Struthio camelus: one gene and its partners. The protein of the gene in region 1 purifies or fractionates together with the protein of each later gene. This does not show direct contact. Links are inferred from orthologs where the notes say so. Each region holds a gene or a part of one and is shown in the gene's direction. Other genes may lie near its edges. The genes, in order: CLK3, PSME3IP1, TNPO3 and GPATCH8.

Region 1 (7,251 bases):
GAGCGTGGGATGTCGGGAGGGGAGGGTGGCTCAGGGCCCCCAGCCTTCTGCCCAGCAGCCAGGCTATTTGGTGCCCCCAGCCTACTCGGGGGAGGCTAGGAAAGCTCTCCACCCAGCTCCCTCAGGCATCCAAGGCTCCCACTGGTGAACGTCCCACCCACACGGTGTTATTTCGGCAGGAACGAGCTCCTGTGACAGAGGCAGCCACGGCATCGAAACGTGGCCGGCCCTTCCAGGCGCAGATGAAACCCAGCAGCCTCGCTTTGTTCTGGAGAGGCATCAGGGCCCTTGCAGCAATGCTCAGGGTCCCGCGGGCACTTCAGGCACCTCTGGGTGGGCTACACACAGCACTGAGCGCTGGGGCAGAGCATGCTGGGACAAGGCATCCCCTCCGCTGTGTGTGTCTCTTTTCAAAGATATCTGTCCTTTCCAGCAGGGTGAAGTTTTGGCAGGGCTCGTGGTCTGAGGGACAGGGCCCTGCCCTGCTCCCCTCGGGCTCTGCAGCCCCATTTTCCATTTGACCTCACCTCCCAGTCCCTGCAGAGGGGATCCCGCGGATGGGACTCGTGGATCTGCCGGTGCCGCCGCTCCGCGGGCTGAGGAACGGGGCTGATGCATTGAGGAGTGTCTGAACAAGGCAAGGGACAGTGGTTTGAAGGCAAAGGGCAGAGGAAACCCAACTGCACCTGCTCTATCCCCTTCACCCTCCACCCCTTTGCACCCAAATCACTGCCGGGATACCACAAGGGCCCAAGGAACGTCACCCTCACATCACCCCACAAGTGCTCAGGGTAACTCGAGGCTGGGCAGAGCGCGGGAGCGATGGTGCAGGCTGCTCGGCAAGAGGGGCCCGTGGTGGGGGACGTGCCAGCACGCTGCGCTGAACGGCTTGGAGGCGCCGAGAAACCCAGCCCGAGGCCAGCCCGCGGGATGCAGTCCAGCCACGCGTGGGCTGCACCATGCAATAACGCCGCGTGGAAAGGGCATTTTCGAAGCCGACGTGCTGAAACCCCGCAGAGGATGCTCTGCACCATTACCTCCGCCTGGAAGGGGTCCCAGGAGAGGGGTTTTCTGTTGCTCCTGTGCAGCGTTGAGACAGACGGGTGCCGAGATGCCCAGAGGTCTCTCCTCTGCCTCCCAGCGTCCAGCCTGGCCCAGCTGGGAGGCCCCAAGGCGACACGGAGCTGGTAGCACCCGTCGCCGCTGTATCGGGAGGGCAGAGCAGCAAAGCTGCTCCGTCTCCGGCACGACATGGGACGCTCGTCAGCGCCGCCGGCGCTCAGGCACGTCCCGGCTGCCGCAGATCCCGCCGCACGCTCCCAGGGCAATCACCCCACACGACGGGCAAGAGGGAGCCTGGCGCGGGCACGAGCCCGAGCTGCAAGACGAAAGGTTGGGGACGGCGGGTGAGAAGCCCTAGGGGCCGTCTGTCCACGCCGTGCCGCCGGAGCCCGTTCCCTGCTGCTTTTGGGAAGGGACGCGGCGGGACCAGGGCGCTGGCTGAGCAGCGGGCGCCGAGTTGCCGGCTCAGGAGACAAGGAGGGCCCACAGGAGAGACCGGCGGCCCCACGGTGGACGTGGAGGTCCCACCTCGAGGAACGCCAACCGGGTCCCCGCCGTGAGCAACTGCGCAGCCCAGCCGCCCCGGCGAGCGCCCACCAGGCAGCGAGGAGGGCGCGGGGCCAGGCAACGCGATCCAGGAAGTGGCCGAAAGAAAACAAGGAGACACGTTCACAGCGTTACCGGCGCCCAGGAGAGGGAAGAGCATCACCTGGACCCCCCAGGACAGAGCCTCGTCGGGCGCGCGGGCCGGCGAACGCCCCGCTGGTGGCTCGAGCCCGCTCCGCGGCGCGGCGGCGCGCTGAGCCTCCAGGGAGCGAGCAGCTCCCCGTCTTCGCCGCCGGAGCCAGGAAATACACTGCGGACGGCACCAAGGCAACTCGGGCGGCGCCGCGGCTCCGGGAACCCGTTCCCGGTCTGAGTATTTTCCACGTTACGCCAGCGGCACTTCAGCACCTTGCCGCTTTGCTGCCCTAACCGCTAGGGACGCCAATCCGCCGCCCTACAGCCCGCTTGCCCACCGCCTGCTGTCGCTTCCCCTCCCTCCTGCTCCGCGCCCCCAGGCCGCCGGCCCCCCCGCCCCTCGCCCCCGTCCCGAGCCTTCGCAGGGCACGGCCATCGCCTCTTTTCCTCCCCGCGCGCCGGCTACGAGCAGCTGCCTTCCGCTCCTCTCTCGGCTGCTCCTTGCTCGCCGCTGGGGGCGGTTGCGCGCAGGGGGACGCCGGCCCCGTGGTGGGACTCCATCGTCCGCCGCCGGCCTCCCCTTGCCGGCCCTTGCGAGGCTGCCGGGTTTGGGGCGTTAAAACAATTTGCAAGGTTAAAAAAAACCCAACCAACCCACAAGCGCTTTGTTCTCTAAACGGCCCGAAAGCGGCAATTCAGGTTCCTCCGGAGCGGGATAACGATAAAACGGAGACCTGTGCTTTTCCTCTCTGCCGTTACGGCACGGTTCCCAAAACGGCCTTCCTCTCACGGCGACAAAGAGGGACCCGAGGCGTCCTGGCGGGGCAGCTCCGGGGAGAACATCAAGGGGAGAAGAGGAGGGGACACCCAAGCCCACCGGCGGCACCGCTTGCGCACGCCAGCAGGGACGAGCAGTGACGCTCGTCGGCCCCCCGACCGAAGGTGCGCTACCGGCGGCGCCGCGCGCTCAAAAAGCAACTGTTTAAACCGCAAATCTGTGCTTAAAAAAAGCCTGTGCAAAATGCCCAAGGCACCCGGCCCCTTGCCAGCCTGCGGGCGCGCTGTCCCGCAGGCCTCCCGGCTGCTGGCGAGCCCGGCCGTGCCCTCGGGCACCGTCACCGCCGCGGCAAGGAGCGACCTGCTTGAGGCCCCGCCGGCCGGGCCCGGGGGACCGCTCGCCCTGAGCCCGGGCCCGGCGGCCCCTTCCCGCCCGGCTGCCCGCACGGGACACGGGCAGCCAGACAGCTCCCGCCGGCCAGCGGCAGCCAGGGCGAGGAAGGCCGCGGCGAGGCGGGCCAGGGTGAGGAAGACCGCGGCGAGGCGGGCCAGCATGAGGAAGATCATGGCACGGCAGGTCAGGGCGAGAAAGACCGCGGCGAGGAGGGTCAGGGCGAGGAGGACCGCGGCGAGGAAGGCCACGGCGAGGAAGATCATGGTGTGGCGGGCCAGGGCGAGGAAGGCCAGGGCGAGGAAGATCATGGCGAGGCGGGCCAGGGCGAGGAAGGCCGGGGCGAGGCGGGCCAGGGTGAGGAAGACCGCGGCGAGGCGGGCCAGGGTGAGGAAGATCATGGCACGGCAGGTCAGGGCGAGGAAGATCATGGCGAGGCGGGTCAGGGCGAGGAAGACCGCGGCGAGGAAGGCCTCAGTGGGGCAGGCCAGGGCGAGGAAGATCATGGCGAGGCGGGCCAGGGCGAGGAAGATCATGGCGAGGAAGGCCATGGTGTGGCGGGCCAGGGCGAGGAAGATCATGGCGAGGCGGGCCAGGGCGAGGAAGATCATGGCGAGGAAGGCCATGGTGTGGCGGGCCAGGGCGAGGAAGATCATGGCGAGGCGGGCCAGGACGAGGAAGGCCACGGCGAGGAAGATCATGGCGAGGCGGGCCAGGGTGAGGAAGGCCACGGCGAGGAAGGCCTCAGTGGGGCAGGCCAGGGCGAGGAAGATCATGGCGAGGCGGGCCAGGACGAGGAAGGCCACGGCAAGGAAGGCCTCAGTGGGGCAGGCCAGGGCGAGGAAGATCATGGCGAGGCGGGCCAGGACGAGGAAGGCCACGGCAAGGAAGGCCTCAGTGGGGCAGGCCAGGGCGAGGAAGATCATGGCGAGGCGGGCCAGGGCGAGGAAGGCCACGGCGAGGAAGATCATGGCGAGGCGGGCCAGGGCGAGGAAGGCCACGGCGGGGCGGGGGCAGGCCAGGGCGAGGCCCGAGGCCCGGCGGCTGCCCGGCGCTAGGACCCCCGCGGGGCCTCTCTGCCTTCGGGGCGCCGCGCGGCGAGGAAGGGGTTAACCCGCCGCCTCCTCCGGACCACCGAGGCGGCGGCCGGAGCGGCGCGGGCAGGGGAGGAGAGGAGAGGAGGGGAGGGGAGAGGGGCGGGGCCGGCAAGCGGCGGAAGCGGAAGCGGGAGCGGGAGCGGCGGGCGCTGCTGGGCCGCGGCGGGCCGGGCCGGGCCGGGCCGCGGGGCTCGGCGGGGAGCGGAGCGGAGCGGAGGGGCGGTGAGCGGCCGGGCGGGCCGGGCCGGGCCGCGGGGCTCGGCGGGGAGCGGAGCGGAGCGGAGGGGCGGTGAGCGGCCGGGCGGGCCGGGCCGGGCCGGGCCGCGGGGCTCGGCGGGGAGCGGGGCCGGGCTCGGGGCCGGGCCGCTGCGGCTGCCGCAGGCCGCGCGGGGCTCTCGGCGCCTCGCCGGCCCGAGCCGCCTGGCTGCGCTTGGCTCCCAGCCCCTGGGGTGTCGCTTGGGTGCGTCAGCTGCTCGGGCTTTTGCTCCCTTCAGGAGAACGTTTGTACCAAGTTTGCCTTAGGTCCGGTGTCTGGTCCCGTGCCTGTCCTCGGACGTTTGCCTTGGCGTCTCCCTGCGTGTCCCGCAAGGCACTTTCCCACCCCCGCCCGGTTTCAGGCCCCAGGGGGGTCGGTTGCACGGCCGCAGAGGAGACGCGGTGGCACGGATTTGTATAGAGATTATTGTAAAGGGCACTGGAAAACTGGATGATAGCTCTTGCTTCCTGAGAGGAGGCCTGAAGGGTGCAACGACGGCATACCTTAAACGATGGTGGCGTTGGCTGCGTGTTTGGCTGTTGGATGCCTCCGTCCTTAGGGATGTTCCGAAGCAGCCTGAACGCCGTCCTGGGTTACCTGCTGCAGGGGGGCTCCCCCCGAGCAGGGGGGTCGGCCTAGGTGCTCTCCGGAGGTCCCTTCCAGCCCCGGCCGTTCCGTGATCCTGTTGCGAAGGACTCGTCCTAAGTCTGTGGGAATCTTTGCTGTGGCTTTCGCAGCCCCTTCCTGCACCCGTTCCTGTGTAGGGCAGTCTCTGTCTCCGTCTTTCTTCTTTGATGGGATAAGAAGCTTTGTGACTCTTTCAGGAAGTGGTTAGAGCACGAACCAGCGTGTGTTCCAGGTGCTAAACTGGAAATTTCTAATGTTTTTAGATGCATCACTGTAAGAGATACCGGTCGCCCGAGCAAGAGACCTACTTGGGTCACAAATGGAAGAGGAAGAGGTCTCGCAGCAGAGACTATGATGGAAGATTGCGATACCCTCCCCGGAGGGATCTTGCAAGGAGATCACGGTCTAGAAGGTAAGAGCCGGTTTCATCAAAGGTTGGCACCTCTGCTAGGCAGCTACTCTGGCATCTGCACATGGCTACAGGTGAGGTGTGGGCAAGATTATGCTCTTAATATATACTTGTCGTTGATCCCGGTCATGTTTCCAAGCTAGCACTGAGTGGTGACGCGTTGTGTTTCCTGATTGTGGATAAGCTTTAAAACTGTAAATCCCAGAGATGGAAGTAAATGGCTTATTTGTTTGCCTTCTCCTATGCGCTTCTGCCTCTATATCTAGCCAAAAGTTCTTCCCAAAATAATGGCACGTTTTTAATATTAATGAGAGAGAACAGCCTGCCCTGGAATCATGTTTCCCAGCTCTAATGCTGCGGAGCCATTAAAGTCTTTGTCTCTTGACAACCCGTTTTCTTCTGAAATTACAACTCAAAGTTTAAAAACAACAAAAAAGAAACTTTTACCTCACTTATACTGTCAGAAAGGAATTATAAATCTCTGCTCTGTTATACCATAAGTTTAACTGAGCTTTACTGTTCTGGCTCTGGATTTTAATTTTGATCCTTTTGTTCGTTGTTTCCCCAGGAACTGACAAATTAGCACACAGGTGCTGAAAGCGCAATAGATAACTGTCATCTGATAAAAGGGTCTGGGGTGAGGGTTCTGGAACAGAGATAGGAGTGTTAATAGAGAGCTGTGTGCTGATACTTCATGGTTTGAAACTGAAATAGGTTGGCTGTCCTCACTGCTCGGTGGTGTTGGAGCTTGTCCAGGTGCTGTTGCGCTGGCTCAGCTGCGGTTTTAACAGGACAGGTACGGCTAAAAGGGAATTGAGTTCATCTTTAAATTCCTTAATTGTTCTGTTGTTTAAATTCTGTTCTGGATCTCTTTTGTGTTTACTTGGAAGAAGTGCATTGTGAAATACAACTGACGCACGCAGTGGACTTCTTCTTTTTCATCTAGTGGATTATATAGAACAGATTTGGATGAAAAACATCTTTTGCTGGGTGAAAACCTTTTTGCCCCTTTAGGCTCAGACTGTGAGCTTCTTACAGGTTTGTTGGTCTCCTCACTATCTGAGCCCTTCAAATTCTCCATTGTTGTTTCTGAATCCTCTGTGTCTTGAAAGTCCACCCTGAAGTTTCACAAGGGTATGTTTCGAGTGGAGTATTGGTGTTGGTATAAAGCTGTATTTTTTTTGTTTGTTTGTTTTTGGATACTTTAGTGATGACCTAAAGCTGCTGCTGGCTTGGCAGGCTGTGTAAAGCTGTTTGTTCTTAATCCAAGATGAAATGAACCACCTGCTTACCACGCGCACATCTGTGTACTGTTAAGCTGTCAGCAAGAGGGCTGACTGTTGCCAAAGTAGAGAGGGAGGAAACAACGAAAGCTCCTGTTTCCAGAGTGGAGCAGTTGCAACAAGGTCTTGGTCAGAGATACAGTTGCTCTTTGGTCTCAGCTAGGTACATAAGACAGCATCAAGCTGGCCAGCCATGTGCCCAGAATGCCACTGTTGATCACGCTTTGATTATCATCTTTCATGGAAAGCCAATATGCTGTTCTTCCTCTGTGAGTTACAACATCTCCTACCTAAACCTTGGCTTCTCATTCAATGACGTGTGAAGCAAGACTTGCACTGAAGGCAGTATTTTATGAGATAAAGAATAACCGTTGGGGTGGGGGGAAGACAGTCATGCTTTTGAGCGTACAAGCCAACCGTGGTTAAGTGATGCCATATTTGTTGTACTGTTTAAAAATGTAACCGTAACAGTTCTGCCAAGAAAGCCCGTGGGATTAAGCTGCGACCTGCAGAGTAAAAAGCAGGAGTTATAGAATGGTGGTTCTAACTTGAGGCACTTCCAGCTCACAGATGCTCTCTAACTGAGCACAGAGAAGCTGCTTAGTTCTTCAGTTAATGTGCGCGCACAGTACCTAAAACAGCTTACAACTGGTGACAAAGGGGAACTT
Region 2 (7,805 bases), on another chromosome or scaffold:
TCCTCATGTCACCAGATAGCTTTGCCTTTAGGCGAGAGAACCACAGGGAACCTGCCGGGTTTTCTATTTTCAAGATCACTTTCCATGTCTCACTCTGCCTGCAGGCAGAGAGAGAATACACACAAATGGTACAATCTTCTGAAACAGGTTAGAGGGCAGTCTGTGAACTACATGACTCAAACTATATTAATACCAGTTAGTACGCATGTACTGAAACAAGCGATCCAAAAAGCCAGGTCAATACCGGAAAATACTTAATTCAAAACGACACCAAATCTGGTCCTTCTCATTGCGTCCAACAAAACACCCAAGATGTTCAGAGACTCAAAGCCAAAGTGAAGTGTTTCTACAGCAAAAATGGCTTGAGAGAAAAGTAACTACAGTAGCAAGTGTGTTGCATACTTAGAAACTATTACTTCTACAAGGGGAAAGATGTATTTGGAAAAGGATGGATTTCTGGTCATTGATCACAGCAAGTCATTGAACCCTCATTAATAAACGTATATGAATAAACAGGGAGTGGTACATTTGAGTATCCCAAAATGACTATTAATACAGAAAGCTCCCATAGGAGAGTTGGCAACACTTCTACAGCACAAGTTTGGCCACCATAATGGTAGAACACAGTACCAGATATCTACGAGCACGGCCAAAGATAGATCATGATCCACAGGTCAGTCACAAAATCTAGGAATCATGCTTGAACGTTTGACTCATATTAGGCCCCAAGGATACAATGAAGAATAGCAAAGGAAAAAAAAAAAAAAGATCCTGCTGGCACAACTGCTGCCATGACATAGCAAGTTTACAGTCACTGCATACAAATCAGGAAGGGAAAACAAAATAAGTCAACAAGACACAAGGAAGTGCAAAGCACAAAATGACAAGACAAAATTCTAATAAGACACTTGAAAGACAATGAACCTAAGAGCAGTTTATGTGCCTGCACTACTTTAAAGCAACGAATGCATTCAAAACCTACTAAGCAATCACCGTTTCGGGAGAAAAGAACAGTACAGAGAATTTAAAATGCTAAACACAACATACTGACAATGGAGCAGAATAGAACAAACCTTATCACTAGCTCACCTTCAATTCTACTACCAGCAGATAGTACTTTAACTTGCTACCTCTAGGTTGAGGGGGAACTGTCATAGTGTATGTGCAGAGATCCATGTCATTTTGTGACCACATCAACAAACATTTAAGTGACCTAAAGAGAGCAACAAGAGAGGTTTCAAAATGCAAAGCATTATTAGCTACGGGAGATTTTTAATGTGGAAGGAAACATGAACACAAAAGCCTAAAGTAACAGAACAATAAGTGTTCTATAACAAATCACCACACTTATCAGCAACCTATTGCTTTGGCTACTCAATATCTTTCATGTTATTCCTTCTTAATCTTCAAGAACAAAGCTTATGGGAAATCGGCTTTGATATCACCTGATGGGCAGAATATAAGAGATGTCATACTGTACAGACAGGAATCAAAAGATCACAACTAATTTATTTCAGACCGTAAACTAGCATGGCCATCCATGAGACTCACAGCAAACAAAACATGCTGAGAGCCAAGACCTCTGATGTAAAAATACTGAAAACATACCACAAAAGAACACTGAGAAGCTGTGCAGAAACCAACCTATCCTTTCTAAAAGAAAAAGCAAAAATTGAAAAAATATATACACATGGAACAACATAAAGCAGGATTATGAGAGCCACTGAACAATCACTGAAATAAAAGACCAGAGAGCAGGATATCAAGGCAGTTAACAGATGAAGCGTTGCGGTTGAACTCCATACATAAGAGACTGAAGGTGAATAAAAAAAGCAAATGAAAGACTTAAGGAAACCAATAACCCTCTTTTCCCAGAGACGCACACAGATACTATATTAGAACATAAAGAGAAGGAGTAGAATATCTGACCTAGAGATATTAGCAATCTAAAAGTAGGTAACTAACTAAGGCTAAGCTAATAAAGAACAAGCAATAGCAAGAGTAACTACAGGAGTTGTATACGATACAAAACACTACATTAAAGTATGGGAAGCTCCTTCAGGATATAAGTGATGGAAAATAGATGTTAAAAACCGTCAGAATTAGCAGGGTCTTCAAGAGAGTGCTTGGATGAAAAGGGGAAAGACAGCAAGAAGCAATCACGCAACTACAGTTGTGCTGCAAGCATTTGAAAAAAATACAGTAAAGGCAACACACAACCTATTCAACCAGACTTACAAATGAGAACAACTAGCAGTGAATGGGGCACAAAGCAGGAACAGTAATGACCTAAAGGAAGAAAAACAGAACGCGGTGCCAAGACTACAGAAGAATTCTCTTGCTGAGTGGGCTTGGGTAGAGGAGAACAAAGACATATGCAAAAGCACTTGAAGAACTGCAGGCCAGATTTAGACCAGAGCAAAGAACAGATCAATTCTTTGCAGCTGGATAAATCTAGAAGAAAAATACACCAACAGCATCCTCGACTCTGAAGACGCTATGACAAGTTTTGAGAATGCCTGGTCCTCCAGAAATTGATAGCTAAATGAATGAGTCCAAAATAGCAGAACAGAATATTTCAGATTGCTTGTGGGTGATGAGAATACTCACCTTTAACAGTTTTGTTTAGTTTAGCAAGGTAATAGCGAAGGTTTGAATACTAAGAAGAGGGATACTAAGAAAGGGAAGAGTTACAGTAGACAGGAAGACGACAAATGTATTTAGGTCTGCACATGATAGTGACCTCATAGTATCGGTCAAGATGGATGTATAGAAAATTATGAGTAAAGTTGAACTGAAATGAGGATCAGCACAAGACAAAAAAACAAATCAAAAACACATCAACTGGAAGACAAGAGACAAGGATGAAAAACCCAAGACCAAGCTGAAAAAACCTCCTTGATTATGTTGAAGAATGCATATACTGACACAGACTTTAAAAAAAAAAAAAACCACAGAAAATAGTGCGAGTCTAGAAGGTTGAACATATTTAGAGAAAAAGGCATCTCTCGTGGCTGTGACCAAAGTTTTGTCACATAAGGAATGCTGACAAATTAACAACTGACTACCAAAATGAACTCTGGGGTTGGAGTGGTTACTGAGAGATTCAGAGTCAGATTTAGTAGTAACAAAACAGGAAAAAAAACACTGACGCTCAGGACTTGCATCAAGAAGGTACCCAGAAGGATACCGTACCTCCTGATACATGTCATAAAATAAGGATTAGCAATAAAAAATTAGAAGGAAAAAAACAAAGATGCATGTGATGGAAACAGTGACCAGTAGAACAGAATCAAAGGCCTTAGAAACAAAGGCAAGTTTGATACTGTGATTGTGCAAAGCAAGGAAGAGACTTGTTCTGTAACCACCAAACTAAGAGAATAAAACAGTACAACAGTGTTACAACACTAGTACGCAAGGTGCCACTGCCTAATCTTTTGTTCAGGCAAGCAAAAACAAAAGATCTGGATAAATAACTGCATTTTGTAGCCTACTCAATATCTTCATATTTTCTCTGTAAAACAGAGAAAAGTTATTTGGGAAAAATGCTTTTAAAAACAAGGAGCGGTAAATAAGGTTTTCAGGATTCAGACTGCTTCCCTTAGTAAAAACATATTCCTGGGCTAAACAAAATTCTTCTGAACGCCTCTTGGTTCCCAAGAGATCACAGAGGAGCACGTCATTTCGTCTTCTGTGTACTAAAACCCAATTCCTTTCAACGCGCTGCAGCAGAGCTCTTGTTCTGCAAGCCATAGAAGTACCAGGAGGCTCTCTCAGGACCTGAGAAGTTGGAATACCTCGCTGTGCCGAACAACCGCAGCTCTCGGGAGCACAGTCCCAGCACCAGCAAACTCCCGCCTCGTGCAAGTTTTGCAGCTTGCTTAGGCAAGCTTCTAAGGTTACATCTAAACCAAGCTCTGCTGCCGGGGCCTCCATGCAGAGCATTCAGCAAGCGTTCAACCATGCAAGCCGCCCAACAGAGCGCAACGAAAACAGAGCCTCATCTTGGCCCCTTGCCTTTTTTTTCTTTCCTCCTCCTTTCTTTCTTTTTCAATCACACACAGAGAACTCCAGCTATGCAATTTGTTCCGCTAAACGCCACGGCAGTACCTGCATAAGCAAGGATTACTCCGGCGAGCGAGGGTCACCGGCCACGACCCGGGGAGCGGAGCTCGCCCTTCCGCGGGCGCTGCCCGCCGGGCCCCGGCCCAGCCCCGGGCTTCCCGGCGCCTCGCCCAGCGGCGGCCACACGCGCAGCTCCCGGTAGCCCGCGGGGAGCGCCCGGCCCCAGCCGTCGGCAGCGCCGGGCCCACCGCCCCCCGCAGCCCGGCCCGGCGCTGCCCCTTCCCCGCCGCGCCGCGCCAGCCCTGCCCCCGCCCCGCCCCGCCGCAGCCCCCCGGCCGCGCCCGCGCGGCTACGCACCGGGGCCGCGCGGCGCCCGCGCCCCCTCGGGCCGGCGGCGAGGCAGCACCGCTCCTTTGTGCCGCCGCGGCGCGCGGCGGAAAGATGGAGGCCACACACCGACCATCCCCGCCCCGCCCCGCCCCGCCCCGGCCCGCTCCGCCCCCCGCCGTCGCCCGGGCGACCCGTCCTGCCCCGCCCCGGCCCCGCCGGGCAAACCTCCGCCAATCCCGGCGCGGGGCCGCCTTGATGTCACCTCGCAGCCAATCGCCCGGCGCGTTCCTGATACGCGCGGAGCGGCGGCGGCTTGCGCTCCTTCCCGTAAGAGCGGCTAGGATTGGTTAGTGGGGGAGGGGCTCCCTGGGGAAGAGCTCTCTCGATTGGCTCTCTCAGGCGGAAGGGGCGGGGCAGCCGGCGGCGGCGAGCGAACCGGAGCGGCCCTGCGGGAGGGGAGCAATGGCGGCGCTCTAGGCTGGGTTGCGCGTCTTGCTGTAACGGGCTGCCGGGCCGCGGTACGTGCTGGCGGCGCCGCCGCGGCCGCCGCCCTGGGCGGGGTCGGGGCTCTGAGAGTGCGGGGGCGGGCGGGGCCAGGCGGCGGGGCCCGGGGAGCGCAGGGGGCCGGGGCCCTGCGGCGGGAGAGCCGGGAAGAGGGGCGGCGCGGCGGCGCGGGCCGGGGAACAGGCCCTGCCCGCCCCGGGCCTCCTCCGGGGAAGCCTGCTTCCCTCTGCCCGTCTGCGCCAGCCCGGGAGAGCGGGGCCGGGGCCTCGGTGATGGTCCCCGGCTGCGGCGCGCTTGGTGGCGGGCTCAGGGTGCGCTCGGTTTGGCGCCCTGGGGAGGCGCTGGGAGAGCTGCTAGGCGTTTGTGACAGCAACGTGTTGACTTACCCGTTAGCGATGGTGGTCTTAACGTGTTGGAAGGTGTACGCGAATACCAGAGATACCGCCTCTGCTGTAGGCATGTTCCAGCCTGAGCAATGACAAGGACCGTGAGTTTTTATTTTTAAATACTGGGATCGTTACCATCTACTAGCACAAAAAAGTCCAGTTTACTGCTTGGAATTCTGTTGCTGTGCTGCTGAAATGATGACATCTAACTTCTTCGTTAAAACATAGTCACTGGACAAGAAGGTTAATAAAAGGGCAGCTTCCAAACACACGTGAAGTATTTTTTCTGGTTTGGAAGACTTTGTGGATATATATGTGTGTGAGATGCGAGAAAGAAAATACTGCAGCAAGATTAGCAGACCTCTAAGTGTGTATATACTTACATGCTTCGCTGCATCTTTCCCCCCCACCCCGTCTCAGTGCCCCAAGATGAGGCTGTCAGTAGAGCCATCATTTGATAAAATGTTTCATTAGATGCTACTCTCCAGGATTATAGCGAAAGTACTTTAGTTCTATGTCGCATCATAATTAAATCCTAATCTATTTCCACTGTGTTACAGTATGTTGGCTAAGTGGCTCAACCAGAAGGCAGATGGTTTGCTATTGAAAGCTTTAGTCCTGAAATGATGCTGCACCCTTGCTGACTCTGTTTCTTCCTTTTGTTTTTATGATTTTTTTGTCACCATTGTAGACATTTCCTGTCTAAAGGACAAGCTGAAATGACACAAGTTGGGAACAAAATTATCTTGCTTGTGCAGCACTTCAGTAGGAAAGCTGATCTTGTGGTTAGGAGCTATATTGAGGAGAGAGTTTCAATTTTCAGTTTCTCTATGGATTTTCCCCTCAAGCCACCTTTGGAAATGACATTCCAAAGAGCACATGCACCATGCTTCCTGGAAATTGGACTCATCTTAAGGGTGGGTTTTTGTTAGATTAGAAAAGGAAAATAACCAGCCCTTGACCTCTCTTTCCTTTCTCCACGCTTAAAAAGAAAATCTGTTTCTTTTCTTTGCCTTGTTAGTTCACATCTTACGAATGCATCGTGTTTTAGTAAATATTTGTACAGTGCTTAACCTGGATCTCTACTAGGACCTCCGTTTGTCATTTGTGATACAAGTAGTAGGCCACAAAAGCATCAATTTCTGTAGGAATTTCAGGACTGGGCTTCCTGCAGGAATGGTTCTTTGTGGTGCAAAGGAAGTATGATACACTAGTTCCTTCCATTATTTTGAGTTATTTCCTTCTTCTCTGGAAGAATATAGGTACTCAGTTCTGTTCCAGTGTGGAAATGCAGGCAGAGCTAGATCCTAAATGCGTAAGACTTAGCAGTATGTGGCAGTTATCTGTAGTCCTTGAGGTACTTGCTGAAGCTATATCAGGGAAATGTGAAGAAAACGGAAAAGTGTGATGTTAGCATAACTTTAAATGAATAGCTATTGATCCTATGTTTGTATTGTACTCCGGTATACAGTCTTGAAGTAAGAAAAAAATAAGTCAGGAATAATGCCTCTCATAGCCCATAGAGTGGACAGAATAACTTGAAGGAGCCAAATAGGACTTGCACAAGCAGTCTATCGTTGTTTCATCTTGGAGTTATAGGTGTCAAGACCATGAATTTCCTTCTTAGGATGTATCTATGGAGGATTTGCACCCTGGGCCTGATACTGAAATGGGATATCTGCCCAGTACTCAAGTATTACCATCTCTTGAAGTGGAGGGCAGATATGTTAAGTGTGAAGGAGCTGTACTCACTTGGTCTAGTAACACTGCTCCAGTCTTCTACTCCCAGCCTTGTTGCAGCCAGAGAGAGTTCCCTCTTCCACTCGCCTTTTGGGTTCTCTATAACCCTGCCAAAGGACTTAAATTTCTTTTTTTTTTTCTTTTTTTTTTTTTTTTAACATCTAATCACTGTTAATTTCCACCACCACTCTCTGCAACATAGTTTACTCAAGTCTAGCTCTAAAAACCCTGGTTCTGAAGTTTCTTCATGCTACCTGGATGCTATTAGAGTGAATAGGAGAGGCAAGCTCTGACCCTACTTTCTCTGGGAGTGGCAATTACAATAATGTCCACGTGGGGACAGTAGGTTTGAGGTGGGGCATGCCAAACTGTTCTTTGGGGATGATGCACACATTGTCTTCTTGACACGCAGCGATGCAAAAAGGTTTTGGAAGATTAGAGAGTTTAGCTGCTAATTTCTGAAATCACTGAAAATAGGCATACTACTTCAGGTTTTCACGGGATGGGCAAAAAACTTATGTAAAATGACGGCCGAGTTTCATGTGCTTTCTCAAGAGCAGAGAGGTGCAGGAACTGGAAGAAAAGTGTGTAAGAGGCTCTTTTTCTTTTCTCTTTTTTTTTTTTTTTTCCCTCTTTTTTTCTTTTGCCAAGGTAAATCCAAGATGAGGTAAGGAAAGTTACATTGTAATGTCACTTCTAGTTGTCTGCCTCGGGACACTTTCCTAACAGGGAAGACATAATTATGAGAAATAGTAAAGAAGGGGTAATAGGTGGTTTGTC
Region 3 (7,901 bases), on another chromosome or scaffold:
ACGCTGCTGCTCCCTGGGGTGCTTCTCCCCATGGGACACCACTGCCCGTGGGACGCTGCTGCTCCCTGGGGTGCTTCTCCCCATGGGACACCTCTGCCCGTGGGACGCTGCTGCTCAGGGGGTGCTTCTCCCCATGGGACGCCACTGCCCATAGGACGCTGCTGCTCAGGGGGTGCTTCTCCCCATGGGACACCACTGCCCGTGGGACACTGCTGCTCCCTGGGGTGCTTCTCCCCATGGGACACCACTGCCCGTGGGACGCTGCTGCTCCCTGGGGTGCTTCTCCCCATGGGACACCTCTGCCCGTGGGACGCTGCTGCTCAGGGGGTGCTTCTCCCCATGGGACGCCACTGCCCATAGGACGCTGCTGCTCAGGGGGTGCTTCTCCCCATGGGACACCACTGCCCGTGGGACACTGCTGCTCCCTGGGGTGCTTCTCCCCATGGGACACCACTGCCCGTGGGACACTGCTGCTCGGGGGGTGCTTCTCCCCATGGGACGCCACTGCCCATAGGACGCTGCTGCTCAGGGGGTGCTTCTCCCCATGGGATGCTGCTGCCCGTGGGACATTGCTGAGCTGCTGCCACCTGCAGGAGGTGACATCACTGTGCCGTCCCCATCACAGGCACCATGAGTGGTGCCTGGCTGAGGTGGGCTGGGGCTGAGCGAGAGGAGAGCAGCCCCGCGTCCCGGCTCCTCGCTGTGGCACCTTGGCTCCCGCAGGACACCCAATGTTGCCAGCAGCACGCCCTTCCCTTGCTGAGGGCACCTGGGGACACGTGGTGGGGCTGCAGATGGGGACACGGATGGGGGTGGACATGGGGATGGAGATAGGTACAGGGATGGGGATGCAGACTTGGATGGAGCATGGAGGGAAGGACAGGGACGCATCCTGCCCCTCTGTGGGGCTGGGCCGCCATGGGCTGGTCCCTGCCGTGGGTCTCCAGCACCGAGGGAACAGCAGCGCTAGCTAAGGCCCAAATGACCCCGGCGACGTCATCAGAAAGGCCAGAAAAGGCCCCAGCGCCCTCAGGAACGCTATCAGCAACAGCAGGAAGGGTCAAAGCTCCCTGGGGAGCCAGGCTGGGAATGCCAGCCCTAAACCCCTGCCATCTCCCTCATCCCTGCCCCGGACCCCTGCCCTGGACCCTGCCCCAGACCCCCCCCAGTCCCCTCATCCCTGCCCCAGACACCCCAGTTCCCCCCCCAACACCCCCATCCCTGACCTGGACCCCCCCAAATGCCACGAGCCCTGCCCTGGCCACACGGGTGCCATGAGTGCAGCGGGGCAAGAGGTGCGGGTTGAACGTCCCTCTCCTGCAGCCCCTTGGCGTCCGCACCTGGGAGGACACTGAGCCGGGTCGGGGGCACCGGTGGGGACGGGAGCGGACCAGGCTGGTGGGGGGTCCCTTATATACCTGTAGCAATGGGTGGTGCTGCACGGGGTCCCCTATGCACCTATAGCAGTGGAGGGATTGATGTGAGGGGTCCCCTATATGGGGCCATGCCACGCTGGGATCCCTCAAGCTGCCCCTTCCCCGAGGCCGGGCCGAGCCTGGCGTCCCCCATGCCCTGAGCCCTGGGCCAAAGCCCCAGGCAGGAGTCATTTGGGGAAGCGGAGGATGTGGTGGGCCATGTTGGAGGTCCTAACCGCGTGCCTGGCCGTGCGCCTGGCGGCCGGAAAGTCCCCCCATGACCGCTTCTCTGCCCTGGCTCAAGCCAGGCGCCGGGGCCCTGGGCGCCTGCGGCAGCATCGCCGGGCTGCTCCGGCCTGGACCCCGGGGCCGCGGGAGGTCCAGGTCCTGACGAGACGCAACAGGTCAGTCTGGGAGAGGTAGTGGTGGTTGTTCAACTTATTCATCCATGACCTGGAGGAAGGGACAGAGTGCCCCCTCAGCAAGGTTGCCGATGATACTAAACTGGGAGGAGTGGCTGACACACCAGAAGGCTGTGCTGCCATTCAGGGGGACGTGGACAGGCTGGAGAGTTGGGTGGAGAGGAACCTCATGCAGTTCCACAAAGGCAAGTGCAGGCTCCTGCCCCTGGGGAGGAAGAACCCCAGGCACCAGGACAGGCTGGGGGTTGACCTGCTGGAGAGCAGCTCTGCCGAGAGGGACCTGGGAGTGCTGGTGGACAACAAATTGACCACGAGCCAGCAGTGTGCCCTTGTGGCCAAGAAGGCCAATGGTCTCCTGGGGTGGGTGCATTGAGTGTTGCCAGCAGGTGGAGGGAGGTGATCCTCCCCCTCTACTCAGCCCTGCTGAGGCCACATCTGCAGTACTGTGTCCAACTGTGGGCTCCCCGGTACAGGAGAGACATGGCACTACTGGAGAGAGTCCAGCAGAGGGCTACAAAGCTGAGTAGGGGACTGGAGCATCTCTCCTGTGAAGAAAGGCTGAAGAAACTGGGCCTGTACAGCCTGGAGAAGACTGAGAAGGGAACTCATCAATGCCTACAAGTATCTGAAGGGAGGGTGTCAAGAGAGGATGGGGCCACTCTCTTCTCTGTGGTGCCCAGTGACAGGACAAGAGGCAACGGGCACAAACTGAAACACAAGAAGTTCCATCTGAACAGGAGGAAAAACTTCTTTACTGTGAGGGTGACAGAGCACTGGAAAAGGTTGCCCAGAGAGGAGTCTCCTTCCCTGGAGATATTCAAAACCTACCTGAATGCGCTCCTGGGAAATATGCTCTAGAGGATCCTGCTTGAGCACGGGGGGTTGGACTAGATGATCTCCAGAGGTCCCTTCCAACCTCAACCCTTCTGTGATTTTGTGTGATGCTGTGAACCCTCTGCCCTCCAGCATGGGGTCTGGTCCCCCATCGCTTCCCTCTCGCGTTAGGGCTGGGTCAGGAGCCCCCCCTGCCCTGTGCCCTGTGCCAGCACCCAGCTCCCCGGGGCTGCTGCTGGTGGGACACCACCACCCACGGGACACCACGGCCCGTGGGACACTGCTGCTCCCTGGGGTGCTTCTCCCCATGGGACACCACGGCCCGTGGGACACTGCTGCTCCCTGGGGTGCTTCTCCCCATGGGACACCTCTGCCTGTGGGACGCTGCTGCCTGTAGGAATGGCAGGCCTGAACCCCTGCCATCTCCCCCATCCCCCCCCCCAGTCCCCTCGTCCCTACCCCAGACACCCCGACCCCACATCCATGCCCTAGATCCCCACCAACACCCCCATCCCTGACCCGGACACCCCCCCAATTCCCTCATCCCTGCCATGGCCACGCAGGTGCAATGGGTGCGGTGGGGCAAGAGGTGCCAGTTGAACGTCCCTCTCCTGCGGCCCCTTGGTGCCCACAACTGGGACGACACTGGCCAGGCTGGTGGGACCGAGGGTGACGGGAGCGGAGCGGGCCGGGCAGGGGTCACCGGGGGGGGGGGGGGACGGGAGGGGACCAGACCGGGGTGGGGGTACTGGGGGGGGATGGGAGGGGACCAGACCGGGGTGGGGGTACTGGGGGGGGATGGGAGGGGACCAGACCGGGGGCACCGGGGGGGCACAGGAGGGAAACAGTCTGGGCCGGGGGCACCGGGGGGGGGACAGGAGTGGGCCGGGACGGGGGGACGGGAGGGGACCAGACCGGGCCGGGCCAGGGGCACCAGGGGGGACGGGAGGGGACCGGGCCAGGGGCACCGGGGGGGACGGGAGGGGACCAGACCGGGCCGGGCCAGGGGCACCAGGGGGGACGGGAGGGGACCGGGCCAGGGGCACCGGGGGGGACGGGAGGGGACCAGACCGGGCCGGGCCAGGGGCACCAGGGGGGACGGGAGGGGACCGGGCGGGGGGCACCGGGGGGGGACGGGAGGGGACCGGACTGGGCCGGGCGGGGGGAACTGGGGGGGACGGGAGGGGACCGGGCCGGGGGCACCGGGGGGGACGGGAGGGGACCAGTCTGGGCCGGGGGCACCGGGGGGGACGGGAGGGGACCGGGCCGGGGGCACCGGGGGGGGACAGGAGCGGGCCGAGCTGGGGGGAACGGAGGGGACCGGGCCGGGGGCACCGGGGGGGGACGGGAGGGGACCAGACCGGGCCGGGCCGGAGGCACCGGGGGGGATGGGAGGGGACCGGGCCAGGGGCACCGGGGGGGACGGGAGGGGACCAGACTGGGCCGGGGGCACCGGGGGGGACGGGAGGGGACCAGACCGGGCCGGGCCGGAGGCACCGGGGGGGATGGGAGGGGACCGGGCCAGGGGCACCGGGGGGGACGGGAGGGGACCAGACTGGGCCGGGGGCACCGGGGGGGACGGGAGGGGACCAGACCGGGCCGGGCCGGAGGCACCGGGGGGGATGGGAGGGGACCGGGCCAGGGGCACCGGGGGGGACGGGAGGGGACCAGACCGGGCCGGGGGCACCAGGGGGGACGGGAGGGGACTGGGCCGGGGGCACCGGGGGGGACGGGAGGGGACCGGGCCGGGCCAGGGGCACCGGGGGGGACGGGAGGGGACCGGGCCGGGGGCACCAGGGGGGACGGGAGGGGACCAGACCGGGCCGGGCCGGAGGCACCGGGGGGGACGGGAGGGGACCGGGCCAGGGGCACCAGGGGGGACGGGAGGGGACCAGGCCGGGCCAGGGGCACCGGGGGGGGGCGGGAGGGGGACAGACCGGACGGGGCCGGGGGCACCGGGGGGGGGGAGCGGGAGGGGGCCGGACGGGACCGGGCCGGGGGCACCGGGGACCACGGTCCACACGGGGTTCAGGGCCGGGCTGGCGGCCGGGCCCAGACCGCGCGCACAATGGCGGCCGGGGCGGGTCCCGGAAGCGCCGCCGCCGGGGGGGGGTGGAGGGGGGCGGCCCGTCTCTTCCCGCCGCCGCCGTGCCGGCCGGGCCGCTTTGGGCGGCGCACGCGGCGGAAGCGCGGCGCGGCGGTTCCGGGCGGCGCGAGCGGGCGGTGGCAGCGGGCGGGAGGGAGGGAGGGAGCGGGGTTGGCCGGACCGGAAGCGGAACGCGCGGCTCGGCGCGTGTTTCCGGCGGGGGCCGCGCTCGGCGTGGCACCGCCCCGTCCCGGTAACGGACGGCGCAGGGCGAGGAGATGGCGGCGGGCGGCAGCGGCCGGCGGCCCTGAGCGGCGGCGGCGGCAGCATCGGCAGCGCCATGGAGGGCGGCGGGGGCAAGCCGAGCCTGCAGGTGGTGTACCAGGCCGTGCAGGCCCTCTACCACGACCCCGACCCCAGCGGCAAGGAGCGGGCGAGCTGCTGGCTGGGCGAGCTCCAGCGATCGGTGAGGCCTGCTCCGGTGGAGCACGTTTCGGGCGGGGGGCAGGACCGGTTTTGGGGGCGGGGGGGGGGAAGTGTGTGGAGAGCTCAGTAGGCCTCGCCCCAGGCCGCGGCCTGGCCTCGCTGCTCGCCTGCCCCGGCGGCTGTCGGCGTTGTGCCCCGGTCCCCTCCGCTCTTGCCCACCGCGTCGCCGGTCCCGCTCGCCGCGGCCTGTCGGCGTGAGAGCGGGAGTTTGGTCGACGTCCGGCGGCGCGGAGCTGGCTGGCGGGCAGCCCCTCCGCAGCTGCTCGGCGACCTGGCTTGTCTTCGTGGCTTCACCCGAAGCAGCGAGGTGGTGTTTTGTTATCGTTACCGCTCTCCAAGTCCGCTCTGGGGAGCGCAAAGGCCTGGCTTTTGTCGCGGTCTGCCCGCGCTGAGGCTCCTTGACCAGAACAGGAAAGACAGGCTGCCTTATTTGGCACAGCCTCTGTGGTAGCTGAGGAGCAGGAAATGGTTGAGGGAAACGTTGTGAAAGGTATTGGACGGGCCCACAACCCCTCCTCTCGCCGGGCGTGATGGACCCCACGGGCACCCCCGCTCTGCCCGCTGCTCCCGGCCTGCCCACGGCCGAGAGAGCTGAGGCTTCCCCTGGAAAACAGTCGAAGTCGTGCTCTAGCTTACGGTGAACCAGAGGAGTGGAAGCACTGCTGCTCGCTTCTGAAACCCTGAAGTGATTGATGTCAAGTTCTGTCCTGCTGGACTTTAGCCTCAAGACTAAATTTAGAAATTGATGTATGTTTTTTGGCCTAGCCGTACTTCAGGGCATTCTCTTGCTGAAAACATATTTGTTCGCTCTTGGTTGTAAGGCTGGGAGTGACTTCATTTTTTTTTTTTTCCCCTAAAGCCTATTGTTTCTCCTTGTTGTCTTTTGTATCGGTATGGCTCTCAGCTATGTAGAGCGGAGCATAGAGCGGGCGTCCTTTGTGTCGCTGATGTCTAGTTTTCCTCCTCTGCCGTCCACACGTCCCCTCTACCCCCGCCCCTCCCGCCAGAAATCTTTGGAGGCTGCTTGTGTTTTCCGAGGAGAAGCAGTGAATCCTGAATTCTGATCAGTTTTGTCTAGCATGCTGGGACCTCTTGAAGAGCAAGACTTCTGCCCCCTGCACTGGTCTGCTTGTCTCAAAGCCTGAATGCTGTGAAGGACAGCAGAAAATTCTCCTCTGCTTCCTCGAGTGTCTTCCCAAGCAAGTTTTACAGAGCTCTGTTCAGCTTCCTCACTTTGTAGGAGATAAGTAGTGACTGTGGAATTAATCTGCTAGATAAATGTTGCTGCTCTGAACTTCTCATTGGCTAGTACCTCTTTACAGCATTCATTACAACAAACTCATGTTTTCTTCCTTAATTTACTTGAGCTGAATAGAGTTGGATTCCTAATTATCGTAAGAGTCTATAGTAGTATTTACTTCTGCAACTATTCTGGTAAGTTTGGGAAAAATCCAGTTATAAAGATTAATCAAGTCTATGTATATTTGGATGGTATCTTTTCCTGAAAAAGCGGTCTTCACCATTTGGAAAGTACGTGGGGTGGGTGTGCAAGGAGAACAACTAAACTTACATGAATTTGCCAAGTGTTGAGTGCCAACACACAGCAGACACACAGCAGTTCTTCTGATCGGTTTGAGACGTGGAGCAGAGCCCCCCTGGACCCTGTCGCCTTGCTGGGCTGTACCCTCACACCAGCATTTAAGGTAACTTGATGAACGTTAGGGGTTTGGTTGTGGCCGCGTGAAGATCTTGTTTCAGTTTATTTCCAGAGCGGTGTCTCTCTTGCCCAGTCTGTGACTTTGTTGTGAGGTTACTCCTGTTTCAGAAACTAAATTTGTAATCGCGGCATGAGATTCTCCTTTTTTGTCACGTGAGGCCTCCTAAACCGCTGAATCCCTACCTGAGAAGGCCAAAGGCAAACTAAAGACTCCAGCTTTTATTCTATATTAGAGTTGAAAGAGAGTAAACTGTGCTGCAATTATTGCAGATCTATTTCTGGAACAGATAACGCTTTTGCTATGTGCCTAGATGAATTCCTGATCAGCCTTTGGGGCAGAGAGGGAAATCTAGAGCCAGCTGGTGATGCGACAGGACAAAGAAGTGGATAGCGTCCTGCTTTCAAGGTAACTTGCTGAACATCAAGACTGCAGTCTGAAGCGGTTACTTCTGCGTTAGGAGCAGAGGGCCCCCCCGACGGCATTGTAGGGCCTGTGAGCCGTGCTTGAGACACACTGCCCCATCAAGAGGAGCGGTGGAAGCATTTGGGTCTTAATTTTTAAAAAAACCTGGCCTCCCACGAGGATGGGGTTTCTCATTCGTCTCTGTCCCTGTGGAAAGCCTTGTGGTCTGTTTTGCTCAGCTGTGGTTGCTTTGGACGCTTATCTGTGTTTTCCAGATCGTTTTGTAAACTAAATCAAAAGCGTGCTTATTTAATTTAAGCCTTTGTTGCCTTCTGCTCCTTGAACGCTTCTTTCTGCGCTGGCTGCTCCCTTTAACTAACTTGCCGTCGTACAAATAATCTCTAGTGACTGAACAGACAATTCCTCTGCGAAGCTGCTTTTGTCCTGTGGCGCAGATAAGTGTGCGTGAAGTACCTCAGCAGTCTGGCCAGAAGACAAAGGGGATCCCTTTGCTTTTTAGAGGGAAGTAACTTCTTTA
Region 4 (6,912 bases), on another chromosome or scaffold:
ACTCATGGGGTGGGGACAGACCAAGCACCCAGCGTTGATGCCCCAAAGCAGTCCCTGCTCCAGCTCCTGGTTTGCCTGCTGGGCTCTGCTCACCCCTTTAGCACTCAGGGAAACTGAGGCACGGGGGGAGGACAGGCTCAGGGTGAAAGGGTGCTGCCTCCAGCCCCACCAACCCATGGTTTAGGGGAACAAGCTGGTGCTTCGGACATGCAGCCCCCAGGAGGGAGCCACCCCCTGTCCCCAGCTCAGCACCCCGAGGTGCCAGATCCCCCCCCACCCCAAGGTCCTGGCAGGGCTGGGTTCCCTATACACATTAATAAGAAGAAGCAAAGGCTTTGTGAATCCAGCAGGATGGGGTTCACTGAGAAGGGAGGGTAAGCTGCATGGATGCCTGGGCCCTCCCGTGGGACTTGCCACCCCAACAAGGTCACTCCCTTCTCCTTGCCCAATTGGGTTCAGTGCCACCAGCACTGGGATGCCGGGTGCCAGCTGCTCTCCTGCTGTGGGCACCATCGCTCCCTGCCCCGGGACTCATCCCACCCAGCTTGAAATGGCTCCAGATTGGGTTGGGAAATGGCATCTTGCTGTGGGCCTAATGACTAGCTTAGTCATCCCAATGCTGAGCCACCCGCATGGTGACCCCTGAGCCCTCACTGGAGCCTGTCCGCCTGCCCTTTGGTCAGCCATGGCCAGCTCAGGGAGCTCCGTGTGCCCCCTGCGAGCTGCAGCCATCCCCCTGCCACGTGTCCTGGATGCCGACACTGGGAGGGGGCAGGAAAACAGGGCTTGCATGCAGCCGGCAAGCCCAGGATCTGGCAGCAATGCCTGCTGTGGGAGGAGAGCCCAGATAACGGGACTCCGGGAGCTGAGTCTTTACTGTGGAGGTACCTGGCTCCTGCCCCCTCTTCGAACGCTGTCTGCTGCTGACTGACTGCCAGCCCCAGGGCTCTGGGCTCCTCTGACGCCCCAGCCCCAGCCCTGCCCTCCCCCCAGTGCAGCCCCCCACGCTGCACATGCTGAGCCCTGAATTGTGGGTGCCCTGGCACCCGGGGCCTGGCACAACCCCAAGAGCAGGGTGCTGTTTTGCCTGGTCCCATCTGTGCCAGGCCCAAGCACCAGGAGCAAGGTGGGGGTCCCAGCATGTGGGTGGGGGGTCCCACTGCCTGCTGTCAGCCCTGGGTGGAGCAGGAGCTCCCCCTCGTGGGCACAGCCCCGGCACTGGGACCAGGGCCCCTGGGTGCCCACCTAGGACCCACGAGTGGGCTGGCTGCAGGACATGGGTGTCCTTTCGACTGAGCCACCCAAGAGACTGACTGCTCCATCCTGCAAGGCAGGTGCGAGATGGGGGTGGCCATGCCCAGTGTCCTGGGGAGGAACCCCTGCCCTGGCCGGTGTGGTGTGCAAACACCCTGCCCTCATGATCCCGTCTGGGTGCTTCAGGATGGCAGGGGGGACAGACCCCTCTGAAAACGCTGATGTGACTCGAGGAAGCAAAAAGGCTGGAGCTGGGAGCCCTTTCCCCAGGGCAGGGCTGGTGGCGAGAGGAGCTGTGCTCCAGCACTTCCATGGACACAGGCTCCTTGGCCCCAGGACTTGCTGCTGAGCACCATCCTGCTCCTCGGGGCCCCAGTGTGGTCGCTGCAGGGAACAGGGACACCGCAGCCCGAGTTCTGCCCCTCCTGTGATCCTGCTCCCCTCCGTGCCTTGGTTTCTCCATCCTGCCCCAGGCTAAGCAACGGGGACGTCAGCAGAGAGAGAAGCAGAGCAGAACAGGGCCTGCCGGCTCTGCACCAGCAGCTGCCCCTTGCCCAAGCCACGGCTGTGCAGCCCCACCAGGCTCGCGGCAGCACGAACGCTGCTGCCGGACTCTCCTCTGCCGTCTTTCGGGGCTGCTGTTCTGCTCATGCTCTCAGCTCCCCCTTGCTATCACCACAGCCTCTCTGAGACTTTCCCTCCCCTCACAGTGGTATAAACTCAGGTGCACAGAGGGCACATCTGCACAGAGGCTGTTTCTGTTCATCTGGGAGTGTTGCTGGCACAGGGCACAACTCCTCACCCAGAGGGAGATGGAGAGAGCGAGCTGCCTTGAGGCTCCTCTCCAAAAAGCCTTGCCTACGGGATGGCAAGAAACACTTTTGTGGCACCATCTGTTCACACACATCCCCCGCCATGGGCTGCTGCTGTGGCAGGAACAGGGAGCGGCGAACCGCTGCGGGAAGGGATTAGCAAGGGGCCCTGGCTCTGCCCTGACATAGGTCTGCTGATCTGGGATGAGCTGCGTAGGCCCCGGGGTTGAGGTGTTTAGAGGGGCTGAAGAAAAGCACAGAAAGGCCACAGCTTTAGCACGGCAAATTCAATTCAAATTCCAGCTCTGGGAGACAGGGGGAGAGCCAGGATTAGGGGAAACTCTTGGAGGAGTGTCTCTGTAGGGCTGCTGAAGGGAGGCAGCGATGAGAATAGCAACCTTCCTAACAAGCATTACCTTTACTGTCAGAGGCAGGAGATATTTGATGGAGCTCCAGGAAGGAGTGCTGGCAGCACAGTCTCGACTGGCACACTGCAGCAATAGATCAAGTCAGGTCTGTTAAAAGCATACTGCATAGGATAAAGCACTTCGGACCTGACCGCACAGGCACAACTTCAGCCTCCCCTGCATCCGACCGACAGCTGGCAGGTGAAGTCCTGCAGAAAGCCGCCCAGGGCTTGTCACGAGAGGCATTTGCATTGCAGACAGATAACGTGCAGCACACGGAGGCATGGTCTGGTCAACAGACTTCAGAAAGGTCTTTTTGCAAAGCACTGGAGCCCAAAGGCTTCCTGCAAACGCAGCCTGTTTCTGAACACCTCTCTGTCCACCCTTCCTCAACAAGGCGGCAGAGGGCAGCATGCAAGCAGGACCTGAGCCACAAGACTTCTGGCGAGAGAAGGAAACGGGGTGAATGGAGACAGATGGAATCCGATTTTCCTGCTGTCAGGGACTGCAGAGAGACAGCACCGCGCGGCGCCATGCTCAGAGACAGCTGAGGCAGTGAATGGAAAAGATGGGCCCAGCCCCTGCTCTCAAAGCCCTGTGGGCTGCCGTGAGACACAGGGGTGAGGAAAGGCCCCGGGGCCCAGCGGTGGGCCTGGGGCAGCAGCAGGGCCACGGCCACAGCCCGGCCCCGGGCGCCATTGCTCCCCTCAGGCCTGGGCCTCTATGCTAGCTGGGGCCGGCGACCTGTCCGCACCGCACCGGGGGTGCTGGGCAGCCCCGACGCCCCAGGCAGGGCTCCACGGGGAACCGGCTGCAGCAGCGCCCCCCAGCCGCCCCGCCCGGCCCCTCTCAGGGCCCTTCACACATGCGCGCCCCCGCCAGGCGGCAGCACCCACCGCCACCCCGGGGGCGGGGCGAGCCCGCTCTCCCATTGGTTCTTATTGATATCACTCAAGAATTTGGGGCAGCCCCATTGGTTCAAGTCGCGAGGGCTGGAAGGCTGAAGCAGGGTTCACGCCCTCCTGTTTCCCGGGCCGAGATCTGGATTCGCGCATGGGCAGAGCGGCGGCTCCGCGAGGGATGCGTCGAGCATGCGCAGTGCGCGCTCCGGCCCACGCCGGGGCGGGGGGAGCCGCTGTCGCCGCCGCCCTGCGGAGGGACCCGGGCATAACTCACGGCCCCGTTCCCCCGGAGCCGCCTGGCTGGGACCGCCCCGCGCGCTGCTGCTCCTTCCCCCAGCCCCTGGCAACGAGCTTCTTCCTGTCAGCCCGGCCCCCGTGCGCCGCGGAGGGGGGCCTTGCCCCAGCCGCCGCGGCCGCACCCCTCCGCTCCGCCCGCCCGTATTAGCCCGGCGGAGCCCCGCGGCGGCGGGGCACGGCACGTGACCGTGGCCCGCACGGTAGCAGCGCGCATGCGCGCGGCGGGGGCGGGGCGGGCGCGCTACCGCGGCGCTGAGGGGAGGCGGCCGTGAGTCGCGGAGCCGGGCCGGGCCGAGCCGAGCCGAGCGAGGCGGCGGCGGCGGCGGCGAAGGAGCAAAATGGCGGACAGGTTCTCCCGCTTCAACGAGGACAGGGACTTCCAGGTAACGCCCGGGCCGAGCGGCGGACGGCGGGGGCGCCCCACCCCACGCCTTCGGGCCGCAGTGGCCCCTCGGGCTGCGGCGGCCCCGCAGGCCGGGCCCGGGGCGGGCCGCGGCCGCCCCTCGCCAGGGCTTTGTGCGCGGCCGCGACGCTCCGCGGCGGCGGGTAACGACACAAAGGCGCGAGCGCGGCGGGGGTGCCGGGGCGCGGGCCGGGCCGGCGCTGCGGGCTGTCAAGGTGACCCGCGGGAAGGGCTGAGGAAGGGGCCGAGCCGCCAAGGGGCCCTGGGGGGGTTCCCCCCGCCGGCTGCTCCGGGCAGGGCGATAACGGCGGCGGAGGGGCTACGGGGGGCCGTGGCAGGCGCTCCCCCTCCCCCAGGCCCGGGGCGGCTCGCCCCGGTGAAGAGCACCCCCGCCCCAAAGCGGGGAGCAGTGCTTTTCCTGCATTTATTTTCACGGTGTGTTACGACGGAGGCGGAGAGGGAGCGGGGTCCCCGGTGGGATGCTGCTCGGGCTCCTGCCTCGCCGCTCTTCTCACCTGCTTTTGAACTGTTTCCTGCTTTCTCGCAGCGTGCTTTCCCCAAATAGAGCCGTAAATACCGTACGAAGAAATCTCTGCCGTTTCTCCAGCTGCCTTCAGCATGTGCTAACGTCCCTTATTCTTTGTGGAAAATGCGTTTTCCTTCTCATGGTTTTTTTTTTTTTGTAATAAAATATTAGTGTTTCTGCATCGTTAATGCCACTGTTGGTATTTTTAAGTGGATTTAAATAAACAACTGTAAAATTAACGTTGACTAATTAAGCTCAAACAATGACATTTTGTTTTCTGACTTGAGCCTGAGAGAGTCCTGAGGTTACAAAAGGGAAAACAAAGGGAGTGAGAATAAATGCAACTAGAGAACAGCTATTGATTATCTCTTATGTGGTCATTCTTATTTCAAGACTCCAAAGTCACAGTAGTGTTTTTCATGTAAACTTGCACCTTTCATCCAAGGAGCTGGGAGTGGTTTTTGTTTTTTTTTTCTTGTTTTTTATAATTACAGAGCTTGCATAATTCTACTTAGTGTAGCATTAAGATACCATCTTGAAACAGTCAGGACATCCAGTAGTAATTCTTTTGGATGCTTTAGTGGATGCGCATTTCATAAGTAGTGAGTATTAAACTATATTAGAAGCATATGGGCAAATATGTATCAACATGGTTAACTTCACCAATTACCTTATCTATGGATTGTAAGTATGGCTTCCTAATATTAAACACAGCGGATGGCTTGCATAGTTTATTTCATTAAATGAAGACATGCCTCATGGTTAATATTGAAATGGTCTGATCAGGCTTTGAAGTTCCTGTTTCAGGAAGCGGAGTGGGCCAAACTTCTGCAGTTTGAAAATACATTTCTACGAGTAGTTTGATTTTTGGAGGGGAGAGGATGGGAACATAGAACAGCTAGAGTATTTTAGGATATAGCCAAGAAATGGCTAGGCTCTATAATCATATATTCCACAACTTCTTCACATACGTGTTTTTCTTGTTATCCTTGATTTTTTTTTTTTCCTACATTTGCAGGGCAACCTGCTTTACAAAACACAATTGTAGTGGCAAAACCTGTTACTGTGTCATTGCGTTGATCTGGTCATGCAGAGAGAATGTGTAGTGAGGTCAGATAGCAAACAGGGCTCCATTACCTGATGCTGAAATCTTGAAAGCTGCTGAGCCTGCTCAGAAACAATAACCCAGTCACAACTCTGTTTTCCTCTCACCTTAAAAAAAGGCACTATTTTTAATTAGGACTATATCCATGCCAAATGTCAAGCATTCATTGTCAGGCCCTTTGGCTATCTTTAAAAAATTAAAAAAGGAGGGATTAATTTTATAATAGGGTAACTTCTCCATTCTTTCTTCACTCAAAATTTGCGAACAAGAAGACATTTTATTTTGTGTGTTAAAGCTCCCTTTAATGGAGAAGGGGAATCAGTCCTCTGGGAAGAAACTGAGTGCAGAACAATTCAGAGTCAGTTAAAGCTTGCGGAAGACTGAACATATAAAAATGATGGGCTATAAAAGCGCTGATCATGGGAGAAAGCGGGCCTAAGTGACTTGGCCAAGCTCACACTGAATTTGTGGGAGATCAGGCACCAGTACAATGATCCCTGATAGTTGTTCTAATAATTTTCTGGAAGTATGTTGGTGGAGGATGGCTTTTCTGATCTTATTGGTTTTCCTTCTAGTTATTCATCAAAACTATTTTCAAAGATTACTTTTGACTTTTTTCTCTGTGTCTAGACTGAGATCTTACTTGAGATAAAAGACTGGTGTGGAATAAAGGAAATAGTTTGCTATTTTGAGTGTTTATTTGCAGGTCCACTGTGAAAGTTATGCTGTGGCTAAGCGCAGGTAAAAATAAATATGCCTGTAGCACACTGTTTTTCATGGTCAGTATACAATACTAGTCTCAAAACTACAGCAAAATTAAAATTATTTCTCTGTTAGTGTAAAGTCATAAATTTGTATGTAGGCTTCATTTATAGGACTGTTTCTATCAGTGTTAAGAATGCTTTTTTCACACAACATATAGTAGTTGTAACTCTTGAGTTTCACCATATGAAATTTCTGTGATTTGATGGAGCATGACTATGAATTTGACCCTGTGTTATTGCTAGTCTGTTGAGACCTAAGTCGGCATGACAAAGAGGAGATCGTGCTCTACAATTATACGAGTTGAATAGGGATTGATGTAGCATGGCGGGGCGGGGGGGGGGGTTGACAACGTGGGGAAGACCATAGAGGAATCCCTTAGATTTAGTTTTCGGGTGATCTGCTTGTGATGGTTTTGAAGTGAAAGGATGCGTACAGTCCCGC

Evidence for each region.
Region 2: the proteins of CLK3 (region 1) and PSME3IP1 purify together in Homo sapiens (affinity purification with mass spectrometry; 3 studies listed by BioGRID and IntAct, counting the BioPlex papers as one, with this or other methods). This does not show direct contact. The link is inferred for Struthio camelus from reciprocal best matches to the Homo sapiens genes CLK3 and PSME3IP1.
Region 3: the proteins of CLK3 (region 1) and TNPO3 purify together in Homo sapiens (affinity purification with mass spectrometry; 4 studies listed by BioGRID and IntAct, counting the BioPlex papers as one, with this or other methods). This does not show direct contact. The link is inferred for Struthio camelus from reciprocal best matches to the Homo sapiens genes CLK3 and TNPO3.
Region 4: the proteins of CLK3 (region 1) and GPATCH8 purify together in Homo sapiens (affinity purification with mass spectrometry; 3 studies listed by BioGRID and IntAct, counting the BioPlex papers as one, with this or other methods). This does not show direct contact. The link is inferred for Struthio camelus from reciprocal best matches to the Homo sapiens genes CLK3 and GPATCH8.

What each region holds. Positions count from the first base shown.
Region 1 is NC_090953.1:23,500,626-23,507,876, reverse strand, and holds the start of CLK3 (dual specificity protein kinase CLK3), read left to right. Parts: upstream 1-4,240; 5' UTR 4,241-4,297; intron 4,298-5,154; coding exon 5,155-5,303; intron 5,304-6,014; exon of another isoform or gene 6,015-6,096; intron 6,097-7,251. Other genes in the region: cingulin-like, read right to left, coding at 528-628, 1,038-1,253. UniProt on the Homo sapiens protein: Dual specificity kinase acting on both serine/threonine and tyrosine-containing substrates. Phosphorylates serine- and arginine-rich (SR) proteins of the spliceosomal complex.
Region 2 is NC_090951.1:29,704,414-29,712,218, forward strand, and holds the start of PSME3IP1 (PSME3-interacting protein), read left to right. Parts: upstream 1-4,798; 5' UTR 4,799-4,913; intron 4,914-7,805. UniProt on the Homo sapiens protein: Promotes the association of the proteasome activator complex subunit PSME3 with the 20S proteasome and regulates its activity.
Region 3 is NC_090942.1:1,545,234-1,553,134, reverse strand, and holds the start of TNPO3 (transportin-3), read left to right. Parts: upstream 1-4,899; 5' UTR 4,900-5,097; coding exon 5,098-5,223; intron 5,224-7,901. UniProt on the Homo sapiens protein: Importin, which transports target proteins into the nucleus. Specifically mediates the nuclear import of splicing factor serine/arginine (SR) proteins, such as RBM4, SFRS1 and SFRS2, by recognizing phosphorylated SR domains.
Region 4 is NC_090966.1:268,048-274,959, reverse strand, and holds the start of GPATCH8 (G patch domain-containing protein 8), read left to right. Parts: upstream 1-3,894; 5' UTR 3,895-4,010; coding exon 4,011-4,055; intron 4,056-6,912.